7 linked regions of the Canis lupus familiaris genome follow. The protein of the gene in region 1 purifies or fractionates together with the protein of each later gene. This does not show direct contact. Links are inferred from orthologs where the notes say so. Each region holds a gene or a part of one and is shown in the gene's direction. Other genes may lie near its edges.

Region 1 (4,041 bases):
CCTAGGGCTGAAAGCAAAGCCTTTTTGTCCCAAGAGGCAATTGAGCAACCACCACAGTCTCTAGTTGAATAGCAACGGTGTGAGGCTGTCTACAATTCCCACAGTTAGAAGTCCAATCTCTGAGAAGATTTACTGAATTCACACAAGAACTACATAAAAAAAGAAATGCAGTTATCGAGCTGACAAACTTGTCTGTGGATGGAGACAAAATTATAAAATGTCTTCTTTCTTACATTATACAGCTCTCCTTTTAAATTTGATGTCTTAGTTATTCTCTTCCTTTCCAGAAAAAGGGCGGGGGGCGGGGAGAACAATGCCGAGAATAACTGCATGCACAGGTACTAGAACTAGTTTCTGAACTCCTTGTATTTTCTCAATTCTGTTATCAGGAAAGATGATTCATCTTAAGGAATAATACACTACATAAAATATAGTAATCACACAGACTTCTGGTAAAAGAGTATTTCTAGTAGACTATTTAACTACAGTAGGTTTCTTAGATCTTAATTATCACCGTGTTAGAACTACTTGTGTGCTTCCATATTTAGTATGGTTTTCTTCCATCCTCCCTTTTGTTTAGCTATTTGGGGGAGGGGTGCAAAAGAAGGTCTGAAGATAAATTACTTGAACCTCAAAAGCCATTTTGGATGGCTCTATTACTGAACCTTCTTTTTATATTAAAAAAAAAAATCACATGCACCCAAGCCTTTTTAAGCATCATTCCCATCTTTTCTCCTACTTTATCTATAAAGCAATTAGAGACGTTGAAGCCTCACCGAATGTGGTAGAACTTAGTATATTTTGAGAGAGGAGCTGGGAGTAATTTTCCATCAAATATTTCATGTGAACACAAATTCTGCGATCTAAGTGTTGGAGAAAAAAAAAAAAACCTACACTGGTGATTTTAACTGTAAGTGTGAGGTTTAAGCAATAGCAAAATCATCCAATTCAAGTTTTCTTTCTTCTTTTCTCCACCCGCCCCCCAACCCCACCCCATCATGGATGCTCGGCTGACTGTTTTTGCACAGTCTCTTTGTCTGGAGGATGCAAACAGTCTATGGATGCTAGGGAAAAAGGGGTGGGGGAGAGATTACCTCATCCCATGTTGCTTGCACCAATCACCACTCTCCTGTCGTGACTTCTCCGGGCAGATTGAGGGGGTCTGGACCAACAGGAAAAGGCCCCAGCCCATCCCCATGGTGACCGAGTTGTATATAGGGAGCCGCATCCGCCCATGTGCCGCAGGTTCTCTTACATCGACCGCCTAAGAGTCGCGCTGTAAGAAGCAACAACCTCTCCTCTTCTCCGCCATCCGCCCGGCAGCCGCCAAGCAGCAACCATGGTAAGAATCTTCCTTCTCTGGCTCTTTGTGGCCCTTGGGTGGGGTCAGTCCCCCAAGATCTGCTGGGAAAACCTGAAGCCCTCTTTCCTTCTTTCCTTTACAGCTTCTTTGGGTAAGGGTCAGCCTTTATGCTTTGTTTGCGAGGTGTAGCTTCGCTGCCCCAAATCCTCGAGCCCGGCCGCCGCCGCAGCGCGGGGTGCGGGTGCGGGTGCGGGTGCGGGAGCGCAGCCAGGACTGCGCCCGGGGCGCAGCAGAACCGTGGGGAAGAACAAAGGCGGCGCCGAGCGAGTCCTTGTTATCTGAGCCCTTCCGAGCCGCGAGCAGCCCGTCTGTCGGTGACGACAGGATCTGGGGCAGGGAAAGGCGGCCCCGGTGTATGTGTGGCTCGGACAGGCTTTTCTTCCTGGCGCTGGTCCCAGGGGGAGGGCGAGAAGAGGTCCCCCAGCCCCGGGCGCGGCGGGTGCAGTTGGGCAGGGGGAGGGGGAGAGGAGCGGGACAAAGCGCAGCCCCGGGCTAGAGGAAGAAGATCGCTCCGGGGTCGGTGGCGTTCTAGGGAGATACCCGCGTCTGCACGGGGGAAAATGGCTAGTTTCTGCTGGAACCCCGGGCAGCCGGCGTCGGGGCGGCGCAGGGGCGGAGTTGTTTGTTTCTGGCTTCTCCGGCCTTGGAGCCGCGGGGCGGGGTTCGCTCGTCCTCTCTAAGCCTCCTCTGTCGGAGACTTTTATTAAAAGCCTTTCATCGTTGTGGAACTGTAGGCGTTAAAAGGTTTTTCATTCACTGTTAAAACGTAGATGAAATATTTCTTTCTTGAGATGCAAAATCACAGTTCTCTTCACAAGCCCTTTAAAGTCTGGTCTGGGGCGACCCCGCCCTGACTGGAGTGAGTGTGTGTGTGTGTGTGTGTGTGTGTGTGTGTATGTGTCTGTCTGTCTGTCTGTGTGCTAGCCGCACGGCACGTCCAGCAAGAGAAAAAGCTCACTTTGAGAGCCAGGGTACCCTACTGCCCAGGACCCAGGGAAACGCCCTTCCCCACCCCACCCCCCCGCCCCCAACCCCCGCCCAAATGTCAGTGAATAGACAATGGCTAGACAATGGAAGCTGTAGCCATAAAGACTATAGGGAAGAAAATCTCTTATTCAACGTGATGAGTAGAAATATTCTGTGGTGAGTAGAGAATCTCAGAATGAAAATACTATTTTATTATTTTAAATAAATATTTCATTATCCTTGCACTGAGCTTTTATTCTTAGGTAGGTCCTCTGATACTTTTCTAATTTAGGAACTATTGTTTTAAAGATTCTAATAATTTTTCAGGGTTTTTTTTTTTATTTTGCAGTGGAGAAGATTCTGGAAGGACATCTTTTTAAGTAATGAAAATGCTGCAGACAAAGAACTATGTACTCTCTGTTCAGCTGTCTTTTGTTCTAGTGAATCTACATTAATTCATTTCAGTTTAGGCATATGGTCCCAGCCCGGGTCACAGAAGGAAAACTGGCTAATAGCACAATGAGATCATGTAGGCAGTTTCTGGAAATAGAACTTACTCTGTTAAATAATGTAGCAGACAGAATAGGCTAGTACCAGGCACAGCAAATGCAGCAATGCAGCAGTGCAGGAGGCAGACCTTGTTAGCTTCCAATCCCCTAGTACTAATGGATTCTGCAGATACACTGCAAAGGGGTGTGGCATCTAGCTTCAGCTGCAGCACAGATGTCCATGTTAAAATACCAAGTCATATGTAGAAGAAACTCTTATTTAAAGGGGCAAGAATAGTAATATTGATTCCAACTAATTAATGATTAAATTTAATTTGCTTCATTTTACAAAATCCGTGCTTTAAATATTTTTAAATAAAAAAATTATATTTAAGCATGACTGGAAACAATGGGCTTGCACATGTGCGAAACAGTGCAACATTATTATTCAGACCACACCCATCTGCAGCATTTGTAGCAGGTGCTTTCCTTAATCATTTCTATTGAATTAGGGATAATCTCAACTAAACCTGAAGAATACCTGTATATTATTAGAAATATTTTCAAAAATTAACTAAAAATTCAAAATGCTACCACAACCTAATTTACAATTTTCCTCTTTTCCTTCCCATAGCGTGAGTGTATCTCGATCCACGTTGGCCAGGCAGGTGTCCAGATCGGCAATGCCTGCTGGGAGCTCTATTGCCTGGAACACGGCATTCAGCCCGATGGCCAGATGCCAAGTGACAAGACCATTGGGGGAGGAGATGACTCCTTCAACACCTTCTTCAGTGAGACGGGCGCTGGCAAGCATGTGCCCAGGGCAGTGTTTGTAGACCTGGAGCCCACAGTCATTGGTGAGTTGGCCTCAGTAACCCAAGTGAGCTCCCGGGGCACTGGGACAGGAGGTCTGTCTGAGGCTCCACTGACAGCCTGGGGCTGAGCAGGGTCATGCAGGTTGTTAGTGATGGGTGGCCACCTTGTTTTCCTTTTCCAGATGAAGTTCGCACTGGCACCTACCGCCAGCTCTTCCACCCTGAGCAGCTCATCACAGGCAAGGAAGATGCTGCCAATAACTATGCCCGAGGGCACTACACCATTGGCAAGGAGATCATTGACCTTGTCTTGGACCGAATTCGGAAACTGGTATGTTTATTCTCAAGAATAAAGTAAATAAGGATCTGAAGGAAGACATTTGAGATACGATGTTTTGTTTTGTTTTGT
Region 2 (4,255 bases), on another chromosome or scaffold:
AGTTTTGCAGTCTCGCTCAAGGAAAGGGAAACAATATTATTTTGAAATTCCCTTAAAGGCGCCTTTCGGAGCATCCCTCACGGGAAGATACCACGACAGCCCATCTCTGGCGTAATTCAGTAAGAACCGAGTCCGAGTTTTCTCAACATGGCTGTGTACTTTTCAAGCCCCCAAATTCGTGCTTTTCGTAGACATCACTCAGCAAAGAGCCAGAAAATGCATCTCTAGCCACTCTGCGTTTGGTGGGGGACTTAGAAATGGGCTCTGATTAAAGGTCGTGTTCATTTTAAAGGCATGGCTGTCGTGCGGGTGCCTGAGAGTCGCGGGCTTTTGTCAGGGCTGAAGCGGGCTCGGGAGTGCATGCAGCATGGTGGGAGGCAGGTCTGAGGGCCCCGGTCGTTAACACGATTCCAGGGGGAGGGGGTGCCCACACTTTCTACCGAGACGTTCAGCTCCCGGCGCGCGGCGGGAGCTAGGGGACCCGCCTGTGACAGGAATAGAGAATTTCTGTGCGGGACAGGGAGGGAGGATATTAAAAAAAAAAAAAAAAAAAAAAGAGGGCGCCGGGCGCCGTCCCCAGGTCACCGCGGCTCAGGGACCCGCACGAGTTTAGCACTACCATTAACAGCTCCTTGCAGAGGGTGGTTTACCGCCCGTGAGCGCGACAACCACACAGCGGAGCCCACTCCGGGACCCAAGCCCCGCCCCCTCGCCCCTCAGTACCCCTCCTGCCCCCCGCACTAATTAATTCACGGCTGACTCCGTTGCCGGACACTCCCATTGGCTCCCATCCCGCCCAATGAGAACCTCGCAACAGTTTCACCTGGCTCCCACTTCCTAAATAAACAAACTGTCCCACGGCTGGGCCAGTTCTCCACCCTGGCGCCTACCAGGACGGGCCGCGCTCCGCCCTCGCCACCACCCCTCGACCCCTCCAGCCAATAGAGCCCCAGCCGTGGCGCCCCCGTCCGGCCCCGATCGCAGGCAGCTCTCTCCTCCGCCCCTCCCCGCCTCCTCCCTCCCCCTCGTGCCTTCGTGGACTCGCGGTTAGGACCAGCGTGGCCAGAGCGCCCCGCCTCCTCGTGTCGGTCCTCCCGAGGCCCACAGGCCCGGAGGTTCACCGAGCGCCTAGGCCAGGGCCAGGGGCAGCGGCCGGGCGGGGGATCGCGGCGGCGAGGAGGCGGGCCCGCCGCCCCTTCCCCTGCACACCTTTAGCTGGCGGCCGCTCGCGCCCCTCCACAGCTCCGGTAGCTGGAGCCACAGTGGCCGCCGCGTGAGGCAGCGGTCACGTGTTGTTTTGCCCGCAGCCGCGCGCTTTGAGTGGAGTGGGCGGGGGCGGGGCCGAGGCGGGAGGGGCTGGGGCGGGCGGACAGGGGTAGACGGCCTCTTCCCCCAACCCTCCCTTCCCCGAGGCCCCCCCCCCACCGCTCGCTCACCTTAAAACCATCGTGCATCACCATGGCGAGTTGCTCCTGCGCTCGCGACCAAGCGACCAGGAGGCTGAGCGCTGCAGCGGCGGCAACAGCGGCAGCTCTAGCTGTGGTGGCGACCACCCCACTTCTCCCCTTGGGCACCTCGACCGCACTCATTGGGACCGGGTCGTCTTGTCCGGGAGCCATGTGGCTCTCCACGGCCACTGGCTCCCGGTCAGACTCGGAGTCCGACGAGGAGGACCTCCCCGTCGGGGACGAAGTCTGCAAACGCGGCTACCTGCGGAAGCAGAAGCATGGGCACAGGCGCTACTTCGTGCTCAAACTCGAGACCGCCGACGCCCCGGCTCGGCTGGAATACTACGAAAATGCCAGGAAGTTCCGGCACAGTGTCCGCGCCGCGGCGGCTGCGGCTGCGGCGGCCGCCTCTGGCGCCGCGGTCCCCGCGCTCATCCCGCCGCGACGCGTGATCACCCTGTACCAGTGCTTCTCCGTGAGCCAGCGAGCCGATGCCAGGTACCGCCACCTCATCGCCCTCTTCACCCAGGACGAGTACTTCGCCATGGTGGCCGAGAACGAGTCGGAGCAGGAGAGCTGGTACTTGCTGCTCAGCCGCCTCATCCTCGAGAGCAAGCGCCGCCGCTGCGGCACGCCCGGCGCGCAGCCGGATGGAGAGCCGACCGCGCTGGCGGCTGCAGCGGCGGCGGAGCCACCCTTCTACAAAGATGTGTGGCAGGTAATAGTCAAGCCCAGGGGGCTGGGGCACCGAAAAGAGCTGAGCGGCGTGTTCCGGCTTTGTCTTACCGACGAGGAGGTGCTGTTCGTGAGGCTGAATACCGAGGTGGCCAGCGTGGTCGTCCAGCTCCTGAGCATCCGTCGCTGCGGGCACTCAGAGCAGTACTTCTTCTTGGAGGTCGGTAGGTCCACCGTCATTGGTCCCGGGGAGCTCTGGATGCAGGTCGATGACTGTGTAGTGGCCCAAAACATGCACGAGTTGTTTTTGGAGAAGATGAGAGCCCTGTGCGCAGACGAATACAGAGCCCGCTGCCGCAGCTACAGCATCAGCATCGGCGCCCACCTGTTAACCCTGCTGTCCACTAGGAGGCACCTGGACACGCTGCCGCGTGAGCCCGGTGGCTGGCTGAGAAGGTCCCGCTTTGAGCAGTTTTGCCACCTCAGGGCCATCGGGGACGGGGAAGACGAGATGCTCCTCGCCAGGCGCTACATGACACCCAGCGAACCTGTGCTCCCCTCCAGGCGAGGAAGACTGCACCTGCCCAGAGCGCGCCGCTCCAGGAGAGCGATTTCGGTTCCAGCCAGCCTTTGCCGCCGCCTCCCGCCCAGCCCGGTGCGTGTCCCGCATCCCGCCGAAGTCCCGAACGACAGAGCTTGCCTGTCTCCTGAAGCTTCTGGCTCTGGCAACTCTGGGGATGAAGGGAGTCCTCAGGGCCAAGAGGGACAGGAAGGAAACGGAGGTGACTACATGCCCATGAACAATTGGGGCTCGGGAAATGGCCGGGGCTCCGGAGGTGGCCAGGGCGCAAGTGGCCAAGGCTCCAGTAGCCAGAGTTCAGGGGGAAACCAGTGCTCAGGTGGGGGGCAGGGCTCTGGAGGTGGCCAGGACTCTAGCGGTGGCCAGGGCTCAGGGGGCCAGGGTATGGGAGGAAACCAACGTTCAGGAGCTGGCCAAGGCACTGCAGGTGGACACGGCTCTGGCGGCGGCCAGGGAGCCGGAGGTGGACACGGCTCAGGCGATGGGCAGGGACCGGGCGATGGCCATGGCTCCCGCCGTGGCAAGAACTCTGGAGGGGGCAAAGGCTCAGGAGGTGGGAAGACTTCCGATGGCAGTGGTGACCGTGGAAAATCTCTGAAGAAAAGATCCTACTTTGGCAAACTAACTCAAAGCAAGCAGCAGCAGATGCCACCACCTCCACCTCCTCCACCCCCACCCCCACCAGCGGGAGCAACTGGTGGTAAAGGGAAGTCTGGGGGAAGGTTCCGACTTTATTTTTGTGCCGACAGAGGAGCCCAGAAAGATCGCAAGGAGGCCAAAGAGGTCAAGGACAAGGCAGACAGCCCAGAAGGTGCAGCTCGGGGCCCCCTCAGAGCCAGGGCTTTTGATGAAGATGAGGATGACCCCTATGTGCCAATGAGGCCAGGGGTGGCTGCCCCTCTTGCAAGCTCTAGCGATTATATGCCAATGGCTCCCCAAAACTTCTCTGCTTCAAAACACCACTCTCGATCACCTTTCGAAGATTCAAGGGGGTACATGATGATGTTTCCTAGGATGAGCCCACCACCAGCCCCAAGTGCCCAGAAAGAGCCAGATCCCGAGAAGGAGGATGAGTCAAAGGACAATGACAGTGAGAGTGACTATATGTTTATGGCTCCTGGAGCCGGTGCAATTCCAAAAAACCCCAGAAATCCTCAGGGCGGCTCTTCCTCTAAAAGCTGGAGCTCCTACTTCTCTCTGCCAAATCCTTTTCAGGGCTCCCCATTGGGACGGAGTGACCACAGTGAGTATGTACCAATGTTACCTGGAAAATTCTTGGGAAATAGCCTGGACAAGGCACCCACGTCTAACTGGGGCCCCAAACATGCAGTTTCAAAGCCTCCAGTGGAGGGGTCATTCTCAAAGCCTAGGGATGGGGGGACATGCTGGAAGCCTTCAGATAATGGGCCCCCCAAGAACAAGGCCAAAAGACCCAACCGTCTCTCTTTTATTACAAAAGGAAATAAAATCAAGCCCAAATCACAGAAGCCCACACGTGCGCAGAGAGAAGCTGACAGCTCTAGTGTCTACGTCAACATTGACTTCACTAAAA
Region 3 (4,297 bases), on another chromosome or scaffold:
ACCAGACACCTTTTTCCTCCTCCTCATCATCCCATTCCCTGCAGACGGGCAGCGGGCAACGTAGCCAGACCAGCTCCATCCCGCAGAAGCCCCAGACCAACAAGTCTGCCTACAACAGCTACAGCTGGGGGGCTAACTGAGGCCTGACCCCCCTCCTGCCCGGCAACCACGGAAACGGCATCAGAGAGAGAGGAAGGGGGGGTTCCGCTGCCCCTACCTCCAGTGTCCCACCCTATGCCTCAGCTTCATGTCTGTCCCGTCCCCATACCACCCCTACTCTGTTGTATGTATTATAGGATTTGTATTTTCTCCTTTTTTTTCCCCCTTTCCTCTCCTCCTCCCCCCTTGCATTCAAGATTATGAAACTTTGCTGTGGGCCCCGCCTTCCTTCTCCTCCTGTTCACCCTGGTGGTGTATAGGTGAGGTGGGGCAGGGGGACCCCCAAATATATATCAGCCCAACAGCCCTACGTCTCCTCCTTTATTATTAGGAAACAAAACAACAACAAAATGGCGTCATGAATATGAACAGCATTGTCAGATGAATTAGTTGAAGTGTTTTTTTTTTGTACTGTGTCCTCGAATTTAATGGATTAATGTGTCTTGTATATATAAAAAGAAAACCTCTACCTTCAGCCTCTGCCCGTTCTTGCTCATTCTAAGACAGTCTGGTCAGCCAGCTCGGTGAATGAATATTCCGTTCCAGCTGGGCCCCTGGCAGGCTCTGGAGGCCCCAGAATAAAGAGAGCTTCTGCCTTCACCTGCCCTGCTGGGATTCCCTCTCCTCCTTCCCCAGGGGCTTCACAGCCTAGAAGGAGCTGCTGCAAATTTTCATTTCCTCCAGAAGCTGCTTCCTCTGCAGATTTCAGGCTGTGACAGGAATGGACAGCAGACACAGGGTAGAAAGCTGGAGAGTGGGTTTGGGGAGCGGTCGTGTACTGTAGATGGTCCAGGACAATGGTGGGGGGGCATGCAGTTCCTGCTTCTTGAGTGCTGCCGGCCCCTTGAAAAGGAGGGGTCAGGAGACCAGGGCCGGGGTGCAGGGAGGGTGGGGGCGCAGGAAAGGAAAGGCTTGAAAGTCAGGGGGCAGGCAGAGGGTTACTTACAGCTCCAAACTCCTCCCCCGGCAAAGCTTACGGGATTTCCCCGGCTCTCTTGCCAAGCCTGTGCCTGCAGGCTGCAGAGCCTGCCTAGGGCAGCTAGTATCGGTCACGGTCACCGCATGCCCGTTGGCCGGGGAGCGCCAAGTCCGAGCATCCCCAACCGACCCGTGGATTCAAACGCCGAGCCTGGAGCACCTGCCGCACCGGCTCGCTGGGCGGAGGCTGCCCCCTGGCGGCGGCGGCCGGTCCCGGGCAGGAAGGCGGCTTAGGGTTCCGGGCCCTCGCCCGCTCCCTTCGCGGGCAGGGGGTGCGGCTCGGGACCGGGCGGCGCCCCGCGCCGCCTGCGCCGAGCAGACGGTCGTGTTACGACAGCGTGCCGCGCCGCCTGCCTGCTTTCCGGCAGGCGGCCCGACGCTGCTCTCAACTTCCGGCGGCGGAGTGCAGCTGCGGCCAGGTGCGAATGGGCCTCGGTGGGGTCTGCAGGTTCGAGTCCCAAAACGGGGATGAGCTTCTTTGATCTCTTTCGGGGCTTTTTCGGCCTTTCTGGACCTCGGAGGTTAGAGTGGGTCGGGGTCGGACGAGGGTGGGGTCTCCTGAGGGGAGCTTGATCTCTGACACCCAGTTCTTGGGAAGCCGTCCTCTTCGTCACTCCTTCACCAGCTGCGGAGAGGACAGAAGTCAGCACACTGCGCACTCGCCCCGCGGCGGTCACCTGGGCGGCCGCTGAGAGGAGGACTAACCGCAGTTTAAGCCTTTCTCCAGTCTGGGGTGATGCAACAGGGGCCTGGGCGGGAGAAACAGTGGGGGCCGGGCGGGGGTGGGGCGCGGGGGGCGGGGGCACGGCCTGCCCGCGAGGTGAGGACCGACCCTGACACAGACGGAACCCCGACGGCGCCCCGCCAGCCTCACTCCCGCACCTCGGTGCGCAGACCTCTGCCCTTGGCTCCTCGGCCACCCGGAGCTGATTGTGCGGCCGAAGGTGTGGCTGAGATTCTGGTGCTCAATCTACCTTCACTCCCAGCCACAGAGATCCCTTTTTTGGAGGGATGACTCGAGATGAAGATGAGGACGATGAGGAAGAGGAGGAAGAAGCAGCCCCGTGGAGCCATGGGAGCTCGAGGTCTGAGGGTCCCCAGACCCCGGAGGAATTTGGCTTTGGCTTCACCTTCACTCCAGGAGGGATGCGTTTCCATGATAACTTCGGCTTTGATGACCTGATTCGTGATTTTAATAACATCTTCAGCGAGATGGAGGCCTGGACCTTGCCTTCCCGGCCTTCTGGTGTGTGGCTGCCCCTGGAGCACCTCTGGTTTCTCCTGGGTTAGTGGGTGAAGCCAGGAGCCTGAAGAGAGTAGTGGGGGTGGGAAGTGTGAGAAGAATGATAATATCAAGGCTGTGAGGAGCCCAGGTCCTCTCCCCCCCCCAGCATCCATCTGCCCCCTTTTCCCAGAACTTCCAGGTCCTGGTCCTGAATCAGAGACACCTGGTGAGAGACGACGGGAGGGACAGACACTTCGGGACTCAATGCTTAAGTATCCAGATAGTCACCAGCCCAGGATCTTTGGGGGGGTCTTGGAGAGTGATACAAGAAGTGAATCCTCCAAACCAGCACCAGACTGGGGCTCCCAGAGACCTTTTGGTCTGGTGAGTGCTTCTGGGCCCCAAGTGAGAGCCTGCAGGAGGTAACTAATAAAGCACAGACTGGAGCTTGTCAGAATCTAGCAAAGTTGGGTTGGGATCCTAGGTTCTCCACTGTCTAGTGTATTTATCTGTTTTCTCTATTAAGCTCCTTGTAGGATTGGGCGGAGGGGGCGCATGAGGGTGGGAGTTCAGCTTTTTTCTCTATTTTTTTTTATGACTTTTTAAAAAAAGGTTTATTTTATTTATTTATTCCTGAGAGAGAGATAGAGGCAGAGACACAGGCAGACGGAGAAGAAGGCTCCATGCAGGGAGCCCGATGCGGGACTTGATCCTGGATCTCCAGGATCACGCCCCGGGCTGAAGGCGGCGCTAAACCGCTGAGCCACCCGGGCTGCCATATAACTTTTTTTAAAGATTTTATTCATTTATTCATGAGAGACAGAGAGAGAGAAGCAGAGACACAGGCAGAGGGAGAAGCAGGCTCCATGCAGGGACGTGATCCCAGAGTCCTGAGATCCAGCCCCACATTGGGCTCCCTGCTCTGTGGGGAGTCTGTTTCTCCCTTTCCCTCAGCCCCTCCTGTACTCCCTGTCTCTCTCAAATGCGTAAAACCTTAAAAAAAAATCACCAGTCTGTATGATTCTGGGACAAGACGGATTGTTGGATAGGATAGAGTGTCAGTTGAGGAGAGCCTTTTGGTGGAAAGATAGATTGAACGGGTAGGACAGAGAAAGGGGTGAGTAAATAAAGCTATCCTGAGTGGAATCCTCTGTCCCAGGGGAAAAGTAGTTACGGAACTTAGGAATATTTTGGATTCTGTGACCTCTCAAGTTTCAGATTGAAAGGTATCATTTCACCTATTTTGCCTTCTACAGTTTGATGATATGTGGCCTGTGACCCCCCGTTCTAGAGCCAGAGAAGACAATGGTGAGTCTGGAGGGAGGGGACATTTAACGTACCCTTTGTTCTCTCTCCCTTACATTTCTTCTTGTCACACTTGGCCCCTTCTTTTCCTTTGGACTTTTGATTTCGTGTTTCCTCTCTGCCCTTCTAGATCTTGATTCGCAGGTTTCCCAGGAAGGCCTCGGCCCAGTTCTGCAGCCCCAGCCCAAATCCTATTTCAAGAGTGTCACGGTGACTAAGATCACTAAGCCAGATGGGGTGAGTTGGAAGAGGAGTAAAGGGAAATGTGGCCAGAGGATGCCATGGAAGAGCAATCTATATAAAGAAACCAGTGAGCTCACTTCTATTGATCTTAGAGATATGGTTGGGGTCTCTCCTTGTAGACAGTAGAGGAGCGCCGGACTGTGGTGGATAGTGAGGGCCGGACAGAGACCACAGTAACCCATCAAGAAGCAGATGGCAGTCCTAGAGATGGTAAGTAAAGTTTGTGAATCAAAAAGGTCCATCTCTTATTTCCTTGGGCAAAAAACACACATACTTTTTCAGCCTTTGATATTCTTCTCCTTGTCCACTGCCCATTCTTTTTCATTTAGTGTGTCTGTATGTATCACTTTCTCCTTAGATCCAGAATCACCAACACCTCCAGCCCTG
Region 4 (3,500 bases), on another chromosome or scaffold:
TGAAAGAATCTTAATGGCACAGAGAATTGAGAAAAGAATTGACTAGCAACCACCTAGCTTTCTGTGCTTTTTCTCACTCTTTATACTACATATGAGGTTGGTGCCTCTAACAGGGGACACAGGCATCCTAAAGAGGGGAAGTTTCACTAATTCCATGTATCACCGTTTTTCCCTTTCTCCCCCTCCTCTTCTAGATGGTCTTCCTCTTCCTTCTCTTTCTCCTCTGCTTCTTTAAAAAATTATTTTAGGTAGCAAAATATTGCCAGCCAGTACTGTTGTTTGAGGCAATGATTTTAATTAATTGAAGCTAAGAATTCCAATAGTGATTTTTAAAAGATTTTACTTTGTTAGAATTAGAATAATTTTTTAGAATAATCTTTAGGGGTAATTAGAATAGGGACACCTGAGTTGCTCAGTGGTTGAGCATCTGCCTTTGGTTCAGGTCATGATCCTGGGGTCCTGGGATTGAGTCTCACATCGGGCTCCCTTCAGGGAGCCTGCTTCTCCCTCTGCCTGTGTCTCTGCCTCTCTCTCTGTGTCTCTCATGAATAAATAAATACAATCTTTTTAAAAAAGTAATTAGAATAATTCTTTATTTACTACTTCCTACTGAGTAGATTATCCAGCTTACCAGATTAATTTTATTTTAATTATCTACATTTATGAAGTTCTTACTTTGTTCTTTTTTACTCAAATTACTTTACTTAATCACCTCAACACAGCCCTGAGGAGGTAAGTTATGCCGTAGTGAAGTCAAATAATATCTACCAGCAGTAGAAATTGGAATTAAACCTAAACATTACGCTATACTGCCTATACTTTTAGAAGTTGTAGTTTTAAAAAAATCAGTTATTTCATCTTGTCTGCTTAAATTAATGAAAGTTACAAATGACAGAATAAAAGTAGTCTTACCAAGTTCCTGCATATTACTGCGTAATAAGTGCAGATACCAAGAGGTACTAAAATGTGACATGATTTAATAAAAGAAAAGTAACTTATGATAGCTTATGTTAATAAGATAATTTCTAAAACATTTGAGAATTTGGGCAGTCCTTGTGGCGCAGCGGTTTAGCGCTGCCTGCAGCCCAGAGTGTGATCCTGGAGACCCGGGATCGAGTCCCACATTGGGCTTCCTGCATGGAGCCTGCTTCTCCCTCTGTCTGTCTGTCTGTCTCTCTCTCTCTGTCATTCATGAATAAATAAATAAAATCTTAAAAAAAATAAATAAAACATTTGAGAATTTATTATTAATACAGTAACTGAAACTATCAAAGGAGTTTTTGAATTTTTGAAGTCTTAAGTAATTAGCAGGGAAATCTACCTAATTTAGTATATGGTCGTCTTAACTTGTAAAACTCTGAATGTATATATTAGAATAACTTAAACTCTGTTTGCTTCGGGAGGCTTCATTCGATGGTAGCTTTTCCTCCATGACATGAACTGAGGCTTGTTTTTCTTTCAGCAACAAGCCCTCCCAGGGTCGTAACATTTGACGAAGTGATGGCTGCAGCAAGGAACTTATCAAACATGACACTTGCTCATGAAATTGCTGTAAATGAGAATTTTCAATTGAAACAAGATGCCCTCCCTGAGAACAGGTAACCCAGAGGCCTTTGTTTTATGTAAACCAAGCTGCGGAGTCTGTCTGTCTGTCTGTTTCTCTCTCTCTCTCTCTCTCTCTCTCACACACACACACACACACACACACACACACACACACACGTTCACACAGATTCCTAGAAGTCTTGTATAATAGCCACTGGGAATAAAAATTGGTTAGTTCTCTAACAGGATCTTATACTTGTTTTTAAAACCATTCCTCTAGGTAAAAAAAAAAAAAAAATAAAAAAAAAAATAAAACCATTCCTCTAGGGTACATGTTACCCATAATCTTTAGAACTTAGCTTAAATGTCACTTCCTGAGGAAGCTTTTCCTGACATATCAGAGCATACTAGTTTACATTAAATCCCCTTCCTAAATACTCCTATTGCCCCTTTTTGCTAAGAAGGCTTATAATTTTATGTTCAGTATCTGTCTTTATTATGTGACCAAAGCACCATTAATGGAGGAACTATGTCTATATTGTTTGCTGCTCTATCTCCATTGCCTGGCAGAATGCCTGACATATAGTACATGCTCAAGAAAGTTTGCAGATCGACTTCTTAAAAACTGATATTCAAGTTATGAAAGATAAATAAATGTAGCTGAGCTGCCAAAGTCCTAAGAATAGGTGACTCAGAAACATCTGAAGATAGGAATTACAACTACATGGGCACCCCTGGTTAACCTCACTGCCCCCGGCCCCAACCCTCCCAACCCTGAGACCTCTAGTTAGAGCCATGCTCTTATATCCTGCCTCAGCCTCTCTGACTTTGGTGGCTTATAAATCCCCTCGGACAAAGAGGAGAAAAGGTTTGAGGTCATAACTACACATAAATCACCTTTACAGGCATAGTTAGCTCATGAATAATGACACTGAATCTTCAACCTCACAGTGTCATTTATAAATTTAGAGGCAGGGGCAGCCCCGGTGGTGCAGAGGTTTAGCGCCACCTGCAGCCCGGGGTATGATCCTGGAGACCCAGAATCGAGTCCCACGTTGGGCTTCCTGCATGGGGCCTGCTTCTCCCTCTGCCTGTGTCTCTGCCTCTCTCTCTATCTCTCTCTCTCTCTCTCTCTGAATAAATAAATAAATAAATCCTAAAAAAAATAAAGTAAAATAAAAAAATAAATATAGAGGTATTTCCTCTATCAATTAAGATAGCATATAATATTCGATCCTATTTGGAGCTTTTATGTTTATTTGTTTTAAAGCAGGAAAATAGCAACATCATAATTTTCCTTCTTCGAAATATGGATCATAGTCCCCTCTTGAGGTTATTATTCATAATAATCATTAATAACTTTTTAAGATTACTGGCCAAAATAGTTGTATCTGTTTGGTTTTCTATGGTAACTGCATTTTACCACAATTCTTTATACCAGCTCTAGTACTACACTCTTAGGCCCAGCCACCATCATTTCTGACCTGGACTCTGAAGTCCTAGCAGGTTGTCCTGGCTCCATCTTTGATTCCCATGGTCCATCCTCCATATCCACATGGTAGCCAGAGTGATCTTTCAAAAGGGTTAATGAGAGTAGGTCATTTCTTTGCTTAAAATCCTTTAATGGTTTTCTATTACACTTAGAATAAGAACTCAAACCCCTAGGCAGCAAGGCCCTACTCCCAACTGTGTCTCTTCTTTCCCTCCTGCTTGCTATGCCTCAGGTGCTCTGGCTTCTATGCTGACCTTGGAGTACACCAGCTTTATCCTGTGTAAGGACTTTGTCCTCCTTTCTGCTTTTTCAGTGTTGTTCCCTTAGATTTTCACTGGCTGCTTGTTTGTTCCTCCTTCAAGTCTCAACTCAAAGGTCACTGTGTTAGAGAAGTTTTCTTCAACCACCAGTGAAGTTAGCAGCTTCCCCATCACTATCTACCACACCGTCTTGTTCTGTCTTC
Region 5 (3,500 bases), on another chromosome or scaffold:
TGGTCCATGGTATGGTTTGTCAGCCTTACCCATCCATGCCTTTGTGACCAGGCCTGGCGCCTGTACAGGGCAAGGCTGAGGGCACAGGTGGCCAAGGTGAACTGGATTTAATTCATTTGACCTTCATGTGTAGCAAGAAATGTTATGAAACAGATTTTAGCTTGGAGAGACTAATAAAACTCAGCTTGGAATAATTTCAATTTGTTATAGGAACCAACATTTTTATTTATTAAAAAAATGTTTTTTTAAAGATTTTATTTATTTATTCATGAGAGAGAGAGAGAGGCAGAGACACAGGCAGAGGGAGAAGCAGGCTCCCTGCAGGGAGCCCAATGTGGGACTCCATCCCAGGACCCTGGGGTCACGCCCTGAGCCGAAGGCAGATGCTCAACCGCTGAGCCATCCAGGCGTCCCAAACATTTTTATTAATACACAAGTCTATACTATTAGACTTCATAGATCTCAGATGGAAATTAAGGGTTTTTATTTGAAGATTTATTTATTTGGTAGCAAGCAAGAGTGAGAGAGCCTGTATGCAGGGAGGGGGGAGAGGGACAGGCAGAGCCCAATACGGGGCTTGGTCCTGTGACCCTGGGATCATGACCTGAGCCAAAATGGAGAGCAGATGCTTAACTGAGCCAACCAGGTATCCCACATTTGAGGGGTTTGAATCAAATATTTCATTGAAAAATGCTAAAGATAGCAGCCTGACTGCTACAGCCAGCCTACCTGAAGCTGTTTGCAGAATATCCTTGTGTTAAACCTCAGCCAGGAAATTCAAGTAGGTGGGCCCCCAGGAAGTGCCTTTGGGCTGTCACCAGTGGGCCTTGGGGCTTCTCACTTCTGTTAACAGTTCTGCTCACAGCTCGTGGGCAACAGTGGCTAGTTGGAAATAATCGTATTCTTCCTGAATAGTATGTCCACAGTATTTTTATTTTTATTAACCACTGGAAAAACATGCCTTTGTTACTCTAAACACAGAAAGTAGTTGGTTTAGTTACCTATGAGAATAGGGGTCGATCAGCGTCTTCAGGATGCTTTGAAGTATGAACTTAGGAAATGCTATTTCCTGTAAATAGAGTAAGGGTTTCCCATTAAGTGTGCAGTTAAATTAATACTAACTTAGGCTGGATTTAGCCTTATTTATTTTTATTTTTATTTTTAAAAAAATTTTTATTTATTTATGATAGTCCCAGAGAGAGAGAGAGAGGCAGAGACACAGGCAGAGGGAGAAGCAGGCTCCATGCACCGGGAGCCTGATGTGGGATTCGATCCCGGGTCTCCAGGATCGCGCCCTGGGCCAAAGGCAGGCGCCAAACCGCTGCGCCACCCAGGGATCCCCCCTTATTTATTTTTAATGAGCAGAACTGCACCTGTGAGTGGTGCATGTTTTTAGTCCATTTTGTGGATTCTAGGCTTTGTTCATGCGTAGTGACCAGAAAAGCTTCTATTGGAGGAGTAACTGTGTGTGGCTGCTCTCTCTCACCATTTCTCCTGAGGAACCTACAATCTTACCTGGCTCTGTGTCCCAGGCCCTGTGCTTTTCCTCGCTCCACGGGTTAGCCTGCCTGCGTTGGTGCTCAAGTACTGCTGTGAAGTCACACTTCAGTCCAGAGGCTGATGCTAAAAGACATCCGATACTCTTCCCATTTCATGGATTGTGCCTGGAATCCAAAGAAGATTGAGTAGTCTTTCATAAAACCTGTACAGATAAAGCTACCCTGGATTCTGCTACATTCTTTGTTTTCAAAGAGCACACTAGTGCAAATGAACCGTTCTTTCTCCTTGGTCTTTTACATGGTCTGTCAATTTTTGCCCAGGATCTGTTGCATTTCAGGGGTTTTGGTCTGCTTATTGCATGTTGAGGTCCATGGTGATAGAAAGATAAAATATTGTTTTAGTGTTGTAGAGTCCAGTGTTAACCAGATTTTAAGAAGTTCAAGCCAAGGTTTTTGATTAAAATGTTAAATTGAACCACAACAGCCTTATGTTAACAACTTGCAGGTGTGAGGAGGACTGCCTGGTTCCTCATGTTAGCTTTTGCAGGGCCTACCCCTCCCCCGCTAGCCCGCCCCCACCTCATATCATATGTGGTGCTGATGTTTAGTTAAGTAGAAGAGATTTTTTTTATCGTATTTAAAAAGGATTTTTTTAAAAAAATAAATCCCTGTAATTGTTACTGTTAATTGGAGGCTTCAGTGAGTCTTGAGCACAGAACGGGGTGGCTTTGTAAATGGAGCTGCTACAGCCCACCCCTGCCATACTGCTGTGGGAGGCGACAGGCTGGGGACCAGGGCTGTGGTGCTGGACCCTTGGCCCCTTACCAAGGCTGCCTTCTGCCTCTGCTCTCTCAGCTGCACGACCAGGAGTTCACCTGCACACATTGATCCTCAAATGTTGCCATGTTTTTGTATCTCTCAGTTTTGTATTGTGCTGTGTGGATTTTAGAACTTCTTTGTCTTGTGGTGGGGGAAAGGGAGATTTTACTCCTGAATTGACCCTCATCGCACAGGTTTATGAACCTCGTGATGTTTCATAGCCGTTGGATTTCTGCACATGGAAGTGACCTGCACGTGGAAGTGACCAGTGCCCTTTTACTCTTTCCAAGGTACCGGAAACTGGCCCTAAAGTGGCATCCAGATAAAAACCCTGAAAATAAAGAAGAAGCAGAGAGGAAATTCAAGCAAGTAGCTGAGGCGTATGAGGTGTTATCAGATGGTGAGTTAACCTACCCAGAGCTCGGACTCTCCCCAGGGCTTAGTGGAGTATGGATTTGGCTAATTGAGGTTTGGGCATGGAGAAAAGTTTCTTTCCTTGTGAAGCTTTGACCCATGTCCCTGGCAGATCCTTGATACAGTTACCCGTGAGTGCTGTGGGTACCCTGCTTCTATCAGTTTCTTTCAGGATGGCTGTTTTAAACAGTTACTGACACTGATCTGAGGACTGACAGGATGGATCAGAGTGTAGGACTCCATCTGGGTCATTGCGTCTCCAGACTTTGAGGTGTTGCTTCCCTCGCCCCTGGGTCTAGAGCATAGATACTGGAAAGTGTAGGCTTTTGAAAAGTCCGATCCATTAGCCTGGTTTCACAAATCAAGTGGAAGGTGAGCTGTTAGATTCAATCAGCAGGTCCTTGGTGAAGAAAAGTGTGTGTGGGCCCTGGGTTTGGGAGAGCAGTGTGGAGGTTTGTTAGAAGACTGGAAATGTACTGACATTGCTTTGCCAGGAAGGAGCACTGAATGACCTGGTGTGAGTCAAGGCAGGGTACCCAGAAGGTTGGAGTAGGGTTCACTGGCTGCAGGGCATCAGTGCTTCCTTCAAGTGTATCCACAGGGGGTCAGGGTCACCAGTGAGGTTTACTGGCTGCAGGGCGTGGGTGCTTCCTCCAAGTATATCCTTCTGGCAGGATCGTCAGTGAGAGGCAGTTCTGAGTTTAGAGGAAATCTGTTTAACCGCCACTTGCCTTCCACTGCTGCTAATAACACGTGGAGCATCTTTAT
Region 6 (3,500 bases), on another chromosome or scaffold:
GGGCACAGAAAGCCTTATATGACCTTCATGGATTTTCACATTAAGCCATAGCATTACAGTTTACCTTTTGAACATCACAGTCAAAAGTTACTATCCAGTAACTTACTGGATATCTAGTAGCCTAAGTTATATCAAAATTTAGAGTGTTCAGACCCTAATGGATTAATTTGAACTCAGTAATGAAAGAAGATATGTAGCTCTGGTTGGCATTAATGAGATGCTCTCAGACCTCACTTTTGAGGTTTCTGAAAAAAAAAAAAAAAAAAAAGAAAATTTAAGACTTAGGTTCAAGAAATCAATCTTTCTTTGGTTAGGAAACAGCTCAAGTTATTTATCGCTGTGTCTGAGACACAGATGATCTTCACTAATAATTTGAAACTTGGTATAACCAGTTAGAGACATTGCTCTCACAGGTAGACTTGATAGGCCACACCTAAGGTAGTAGCTTTTAAAAATTCTCCTAAACTACAGGTAGATTTGCAGTGTTCGTCTTGTGTGACTTACGATATACCATCATCTCTTCTGACTAGGTGAGCCTCATGTGGATGGAGAGCCAGGAGACCTGCGGTTCCGAATCAAAGTTGTCAAGTAAGTGATCTGATTTCGGAGGCCTTCTCTTTAGGCCCCGCTTTTCAGATGAGTTGGATTAGAAAGAGATAGATAGCCACCAGGACACTGCTAGGCTTTTCCCTGTGTTTCATGCCCTTCACTACCTAATTGGTCATTTGTAACTACAGCAATACTGAAAATTTGGGGTTGGGGCCCAGGATTGAACTGTTATATATTTACTTGGGACCTACAAATCCAAAAGATGTTGGAAGGAAAGAATTGATAAGACAAGTAAGGAGTTGTAAAAGAGAGACAAACAGGAATGGGACTCAAGGAGAGACCTGAGATTTTGACTGAGCAAGCATGGCACCACAAAGGAATGGAAGGCTTTACATAGAAAGAACCTTCTGTTACATAATATGCAGCTTCTTTTTAGCATGAAATGCTGATTATACAAGAATTTTGCCCAGGACTTAAGCTTTCCTGTTTATTATTTCTCTCTTGTTACCACTTTGGAAAGCAGTGATACTTCTGCTTCTAAGGATTCATTGGAACAATTTTCCTATGTAAATATGGAGAAACATTCCCCCACTGCCTAGGACTTTCCCCTCCTACCACTCTTAATCTCAGAGATCTTTTCCCCAAGTTTCCTTACCTACTTTATCTCTCTCATATCTTCCCAGAAAACCTGGAACATGTGATGTTCCCTGAGTAAACCTGGTACCTTCTCAAGTCCTGGTCTTTGCCAGAATTCCCTCTTACTCCAACCTCACCCTCCCCCATTCCCACCTTATCTGCATCTACAGCTGACCTGGCCTCGAGCCTAGCCTTAGAGACCTTCCCAAATCTGTTCCAATGCCCATCGCCCAGCCCCCACTGCCAGAAGTTGTCTTTCTCTTTTCTATAATATGATTACTTGTAGTTTTAGTTTTACTTATGTGCGTTGCCTTCTGCTGATTTATAAACTCCTTAAGCATAGAATTTAATAAACCTAACACAACTTTTTGGTTTCAATTAACGCTACACACAAAGGAGTGTCTAATAAATGCTCATTGTTTAAAAGAGTGGTATTCATCCTTTACCAAGATTTTTCTTAAAATTTTTGGAACACTTTCCAAAGAAAGATGGGAGTTTTTTATTTTTGCCTTGTTCTATTTTTAGGCACCCAATATTTGAAAGGAGAGGAGATGATTTGTATACAAACGTGACAATCTCACTAGTCGAGTCTCTGGTGGGCTTTGATATGGATATTACTCACTTGGATGGCCACAAGGTAAACAGACCAATTTTCCTGCTTCCCATCCTTTTAAAACCTGTCTTTTTAAAACCTGTCTTTTTAAACCTTTGTGTGGGTGGTTTTAAGATTACGTGTTTTTTCTTTTCCTTTGGAAACCTATTTCTTTGGCTCACAATGTCCTAATGGTGTTTCCCTTGTCCCTTTTTCACCCTTGCTGCTGTACTGAGCTGTGATACGAGCTCTGGACACCAGTGCATGCTAGCAGCAGTGTGTGGTGTTTCAGGAGTACCAGTCCTAGTCCGGTCCATTGCCCTTTGCTTTCTAGGTACATATTTCCCGGGATAAGATCACAAGACCAGGAGCCAAGCTATGGAAGAAAGGAGAAGGGCTCCCCAACTTTGACAACAACAACATCAAGGGCTCTTTGATAATCACTTTTGATGTGGATTTTCCAAAAGAACAGTTAACAGAGGAAGCAAGAGAAGGTGAGAGGTCTAATGAGAAAGAGTGTGTGTGTGTGAGTGTGTGTGTGTGTGGGTGTGTGTGTCGTGTCTGCAGTTTGTGAGTATGAAAACAGTGGTTAGAGATGACAGGCAACAAAAACAAACTCTGGTGACCTTGGGCATCAAACACAGGACCAGGAAATGAACTTGCCTTTCTATAAAAGAGATATTGAAAATCTCATCACCATGTTACAAAAGGCTGGGTGAAGAGGCTTTGGCAACAAGGGTATGTGGCTGTGAGCGTGAAGTGGGATCACATAAAAACAAATCAGCTGGACCAAACGTTAAAGGGAAGGATATACATTAGAAGGGCTAGAGGACAATGGGTGGCATCAGCAATGGCTACTTGAGGCAAGGGCCCAGTTGGTGCATCCTGAATAGTAGGAGGAAGGAGAATGGTGAAAGAGGTCAGAACTAAAAAGAGGACAAAGAAGAAGGAACGGAAGACAACTGAAGAGCTTGGTTGCCATTTTCTCATTTCTCATTGATAGGGTTTTGTGGGATGTGTGCCTCAGAGACAGAAGGAGATAAGGGGCCGTGCCATCTTGGACATACGTGTGCCCATGGGGGGGGGGGGGATCCACACTCAATGAACTTGAACATGGTTATTTATCTGTTTAACTCGGATCTGTGGTTGTCATAGGGCCTTTTGTGAGCCTCCCCATGAAATCTCTTTAAACTCTAAGCGAAATCCCTTTTTTTTGTTGATGGAATCACTTATTCTTTCTTCAGGTATCAAACAGCTTCTGAACCAAGGATCAGTGCAGAAGGTATACAATGGACTGCAAGGATATTAAGAGTGAATAAAATTGGACTTTGTTTAAAATAAGTGAATCAGCGATATTTATTATCTACAAGGGTTTTTTTGTGTTTTTGTTCTTACTTTCAATATGCAAGTTTGGCTTAATTTGTTTCTCCTAATGATCGTCATGAGATGAATAAGAGGGCTTAAGAATTTGTCCATTTGTGTTGAGAAAAGAATGACCAGCAAAAGGTTTAATAATACCTCTCCCTTTGGGGATTTAAAGTCTGGTGCTGCTGCCTGAGTTTCAAGAATTAAAGCTGCAAGAGGACTCCAGGAGCAAAAGAAACACAATATAAGGGGTCGGAGTTAATTGTTAGCCATTTCATTCAAAATACCAACTGGAGAAGTCTGTTTTTAAATACATTTTGTTGTCATTTTTTTCTTGACTCCTGTTTCTTGTTGGTTT
Region 7 (3,077 bases), on another chromosome or scaffold:
TACGCCAAAGGCAAAGCAACCCTTCCCTGGTTTATCCTGCTTTTACTGGTAACCTCACTAAAGAGGGGAAGGCCTCCCTCAACATCTTACTCCTCAGCTGAAGATGGTTTTTAAGGTGGTGGCTTGGGCTCTCCATCTGAGAGGGAGGCCATCTCAGTGTCCCTAAAATTCTGCTATGTATATGTGAAGTATACATGTTAATAAGCTTCTGCTTTTTTTCTTGTTAATCTGTCTTTTATTACAGGGTTTCTCAGCCAAGAACTCAGAAAGGTACAGGGAAAATTATTTTTCCTCCCCTACATGCACATCCTTATCAAGAGATCCACTGCATCTGATCTCTTGTAACCAGCACAAAACCCTGGTTATGCACGCCATTTGCTCTAGGTTAAGACTTGATCTCCATCCGAGTTAGAAATGCATACCTGCCCACACTTTTTCAAACGTGCCCACTTGGAAAAGTCATCTGGTATCCCATGTATAAAAGTTGTCAGAGGGGATCCCTGGGTGGCGCAGTGGTTTGGCGCCTGCCTTTGGCCCACGGCACGATCCTGGAGACCCGGGATCGAATCCCACGTCAGGCTCCCGGTGCATGGAGCCTGCTTCTCCCTCTGCCTATGTCTCTGCCTCTCTCTCTCTCTCTGTGACTATCATAAATAAAAAATTAAAAAGTAAAAAAATTAAAAATAAATAAATAAAAGTTGTCAGATAATGGTGCCTGGGTGGCTCAGTCCATTAAGCACTCCAACTCTTGATTTTGGCTCAGGTCATGATCTCACGGTTGTGAGATCAATCCCCACATCAGGCTCATACGCTACACGTGAAGCCTGCTTGAGATGGTCTGTCTCCCTCTCCTTCTGCCCCTTTCCCACCTGCACACATATGTGCTCACTCTCCCTCTCTCTCAAAAAATGAAATAATAAAAAAAAGGAAATAATAAAAAATAGACTTTCAGGGAAAGGTATTCTGCAACCTCTCTCCGTAATATAATATAGTTTATTAGTTAATCTTATGTGCTATAATTTTGACTTTTACATTTAAAAATTTTGTAGCCAAGGTGCTTACAGAAAATAACTTTAGCCACAAATGAATGCCTAAATGTTTTCAATATAGGTAAGTTTATGTCTCGTATTGATTGATATTTCAAACTTTCCATGTTTAGGAGAAAGAGAAGAATTAAATCTGACAGCAAACCGTTTGATGGGACGAACCCTCACCGTTGAAGTTTCAGTAGAAACAATCAGAAACCCCCAGCAGCAAGAATCCCTAAAGCATGCCACCAGGATTATTGACGAGGTGGTCAGTAAGTTTCTGGATGATTTGGGAAATGCCAGGAGTCACTTGATGTCCCTGTACAGTGCATGTTCATCTGAGGTGCCACCCGGGCCTGTTGACCAGAAGTTTCAGTCCATAGTAATTGGCTGTGCTCTTGAAGACCAGAAGAAAATTAAGAGAAGATTAGAGACCCTGCTTAGAAATATTGAAAACTCTGACAAGGCCATCAAGCTGTTAGAGCATTCTAAAGGAGCTGGTTCCAAAACTCTGCAACAAAATGCTGAAGGCAAATTTAATTAGTTTTGAAACATAAGAGCATTTAAAAATAATGGCATAAAAATGATTAAACACTAGTTCTTTGTGTTAGGTATAACCTTTGATATTGATTGTTGTTTCAGATGAGGAAAATATTCCAGTGTCATCAGTTTTGTGAATGATACAATTAAAACTAGAAATATTTTAATTATCTTTCTAGAAGTTTTTAGAATGGATTCTTGTCTTGTGTTAGGCTCTAGCACCTAATATATATATATTTTTTACTATTCTGTGGATGAATACTTAGTATATAGAAGAGAGTAACTGCTCAGCCTGGGCACAAAGCATTATTCTGTTCTGGGCTTTGTCTGGCATGGAGATACTCGGGCACATGGGGCATTAAGTTGACTAGAAATTCTTGACCTTAGGCAGCACACAAACTTACCACCACACATCTACTGTTAACTATGTGGTGTGCTTAAAAGGACAAAAGAAATCACAAAGTAAGAAACTTTCCCTACATTATCTTTTTCAGAAAGCACTTTTTTTGGACATCTATCAAATTATTTTGAATTTAAGATTTATGCATCTGATAATATGAATATAAGTCTTGAATTATATAAAAACTTGGCATAAAGTGTGAGAGAATTCAACTCTAATATTATCACTGTGAACAACTATATGTCCACCTCATCTTTTTCCAAGTGCATAATTTCTCTAAATTTTTAATCATTACAAAAAATACAGTGTTGTACCTTGCCTTTGAAAAAAAATGCTATAAAGTCTAATTGTCAACTTTAAAACCTCTATTCTGTATGGTTGTATAATTTACTTACCTATTCCCCTTACTAGACTTTTAGATTGTTCTAATTTGTTGCTTATTCCTGCAACATATTTATATACAGAAACTTTTTTCCTTCTTTGTTTTTGATTTTCTTTATGTAAATTCCCAGTAGTGGTACTTATTGGGTCAAAGGTATATATACATTTTCAAACGTTACATCAATTTATACTGTCTTCAGTAATTAAAGTGTAGCTGTTTCACTAGAAGTTTTCCAGAATTGAGTGTTATTTTTTCCTAACAATAGATAAGAAACACCTTAATTTAGTTTGCGTTTGTTTACTAACAAGGCTAACCAATGTATTGATTATTCAATTACTGTGATAAATGAAGCAACTTTAGAACACTTCTGTTTGAAGTAACTAATGCTATTGATACACAAAAACCTTAACTCCCCCTCAAATACTTCTTCAAAATGAATACATCAGACTCCCGTTTTCATGGGAACGTAGGTATTCTTTCACATTGGGGGGTGGGGTGGGGGAGTCAACATCCAGATTGGCTTTATATATTTAGATCTCTCAATGCAAACAACATTGAGCTTCATTTTTTGGCCAAAAATGTCAAATTAGTCTCTCTTCATAAGAAGCAATTACAATCTCAGAACATTATGTTTTTGATTGCCATTGCTAAGCCTGCCTCATTTAAATCTTTCCATTTCATAGGAAACATTCATTCTCCTTGATAACTGTGGCAAAGCTTCTTGATT

What was found.
Region 2: the proteins of tubulin alpha-1A chain (region 1) and IRS4 purify together in Homo sapiens (affinity purification with mass spectrometry; 3 studies listed by BioGRID and IntAct, with this or other methods). This does not show direct contact. The link is inferred for Canis lupus familiaris from reciprocal best matches to the Homo sapiens genes TUBA1A and IRS4.
Region 3: the proteins of tubulin alpha-1A chain (region 1) and HAX1 purify together in Homo sapiens (affinity purification with mass spectrometry; 3 studies listed by BioGRID and IntAct, with this or other methods). This does not show direct contact. The link is inferred for Canis lupus familiaris from reciprocal best matches to the Homo sapiens genes TUBA1A and HAX1.
Region 4: the proteins of tubulin alpha-1A chain (region 1) and TCP11L2 purify together in Homo sapiens (affinity purification with mass spectrometry; 3 studies listed by BioGRID and IntAct, counting the BioPlex papers as one, with this or other methods). This does not show direct contact. The link is inferred for Canis lupus familiaris from reciprocal best matches to the Homo sapiens genes TUBA1A and TCP11L2.
Region 5: the proteins of tubulin alpha-1A chain (region 1) and DNAJB6 purify together in Homo sapiens (pull-down; 3 studies listed by BioGRID and IntAct, with this or other methods). This does not show direct contact. The link is inferred for Canis lupus familiaris from reciprocal best matches to the Homo sapiens genes TUBA1A and DNAJB6.
Region 6: the proteins of tubulin alpha-1A chain (region 1) and DNAJB11 purify together in Homo sapiens (affinity purification with mass spectrometry; 3 studies listed by BioGRID and IntAct, counting the BioPlex papers as one, with this or other methods). This does not show direct contact. The link is inferred for Canis lupus familiaris from reciprocal best matches to the Homo sapiens genes TUBA1A and DNAJB11.
Region 7: the proteins of tubulin alpha-1A chain (region 1) and BAG2 purify together in Homo sapiens (affinity purification with mass spectrometry; 4 studies listed by BioGRID and IntAct, with this or other methods). This does not show direct contact. The link is inferred for Canis lupus familiaris from reciprocal best matches to the Homo sapiens genes TUBA1A and BAG2.

What each region holds. Positions count from the first base shown.
Region 1 is NC_049248.1:41,239,328-41,243,368, reverse strand, and holds the start of tubulin alpha-1A chain, read left to right. Parts: upstream 1-1,241; 5' UTR 1,242-1,339; coding exon 1,340-1,342; exon of another isoform or gene 1,343-2,193; intron 2,194-3,451; coding exon 3,452-3,674; intron 3,675-3,814; coding exon 3,815-3,963; intron 3,964-4,041. UniProt on the Homo sapiens protein: Tubulin is the major constituent of microtubules, a cylinder consisting of laterally associated linear protofilaments composed of alpha- and beta-tubulin heterodimers.
Region 2 is NC_049260.1:82,901,730-82,905,984, reverse strand, and holds the start of IRS4 (insulin receptor substrate 4), read left to right. Parts: upstream 1-1,455; 5' UTR 1,456-1,458; coding exon 1,459-4,255. UniProt on the Homo sapiens protein: Acts as an interface between multiple growth factor receptors possessing tyrosine kinase activity, such as insulin receptor, IGF1R and FGFR1, and a complex network of intracellular signaling molecules containing SH2 domains.
Region 3 is NC_049228.1:42,956,551-42,960,847, reverse strand, and holds the start of HAX1 (HCLS1-associated protein X-1), read left to right. Parts: upstream 1-1,497; 5' UTR 1,498-1,605; coding exon 1,606-1,658; intron 1,659-1,724; exon of another isoform or gene 1,725-1,870; intron 1,871-2,123; coding exon 2,124-2,422; intron 2,423-2,552; coding exon 2,553-2,746; intron 2,747-3,618; coding exon 3,619-3,670; intron 3,671-3,797; coding exon 3,798-3,904; intron 3,905-4,029; coding exon 4,030-4,120; intron 4,121-4,268; coding exon 4,269-4,297. Other genes in the region: UBAP2L (ubiquitin-associated protein 2-like), read left to right, coding at 45-140. UniProt on the Homo sapiens protein: Recruits the Arp2/3 complex to the cell cortex and regulates reorganization of the cortical actin cytoskeleton via its interaction with KCNC3 and the Arp2/3 complex. Slows down the rate of inactivation of KCNC3 channels. Promotes GNA13-mediated cell migration.
Region 4 is NC_049231.1:33,395,493-33,398,992, reverse strand, and holds part of TCP11L2 (T-complex protein 11-like protein 2), read left to right. Parts: intron 1-1,462; coding exon 1,463-1,598; intron 1,599-3,500. UniProt on the Homo sapiens protein: Promotes the migration of muscle-derived satellite cells (MDSCs) during differentiation throught interaction with FMNL2 and therefore may participate in microfilament assembly.
Region 5 is NC_049237.1:20,540,879-20,544,378, forward strand, and holds part of DNAJB6 (dnaJ homolog subfamily B member 6), read left to right. Parts: intron 1-2,608; coding exon 2,609-2,718; intron 2,719-3,500. UniProt on the Homo sapiens protein: Has a stimulatory effect on the ATPase activity of HSP70 in a dose-dependent and time-dependent manner and hence acts as a co-chaperone of HSP70. Plays an indispensable role in the organization of KRT8/KRT18 filaments.
Region 6 is NC_049255.1:19,370,402-19,373,901, forward strand, and holds the end of DNAJB11 (dnaJ homolog subfamily B member 11), read left to right. Parts: intron 1-530; coding exon 531-588; intron 589-1,710; coding exon 1,711-1,822; intron 1,823-2,111; coding exon 2,112-2,271; intron 2,272-3,021; coding exon 3,022-3,086; 3' UTR 3,087-3,455; downstream 3,456-3,500. UniProt on the Homo sapiens protein: As a co-chaperone for HSPA5 it is required for proper folding, trafficking or degradation of proteins.
Region 7 is NC_049233.1:24,636,079-24,639,155, forward strand, and holds the end of BAG2 (BAG family molecular chaperone regulator 2), read left to right. Parts: intron 1-1,159; coding exon 1,160-1,572; 3' UTR 1,573-2,577; downstream 2,578-3,077. UniProt on the Homo sapiens protein: Co-chaperone for HSP70 and HSC70 chaperone proteins. Acts as a nucleotide-exchange factor (NEF) promoting the release of ADP from the HSP70 and HSC70 proteins thereby triggering client/substrate protein release.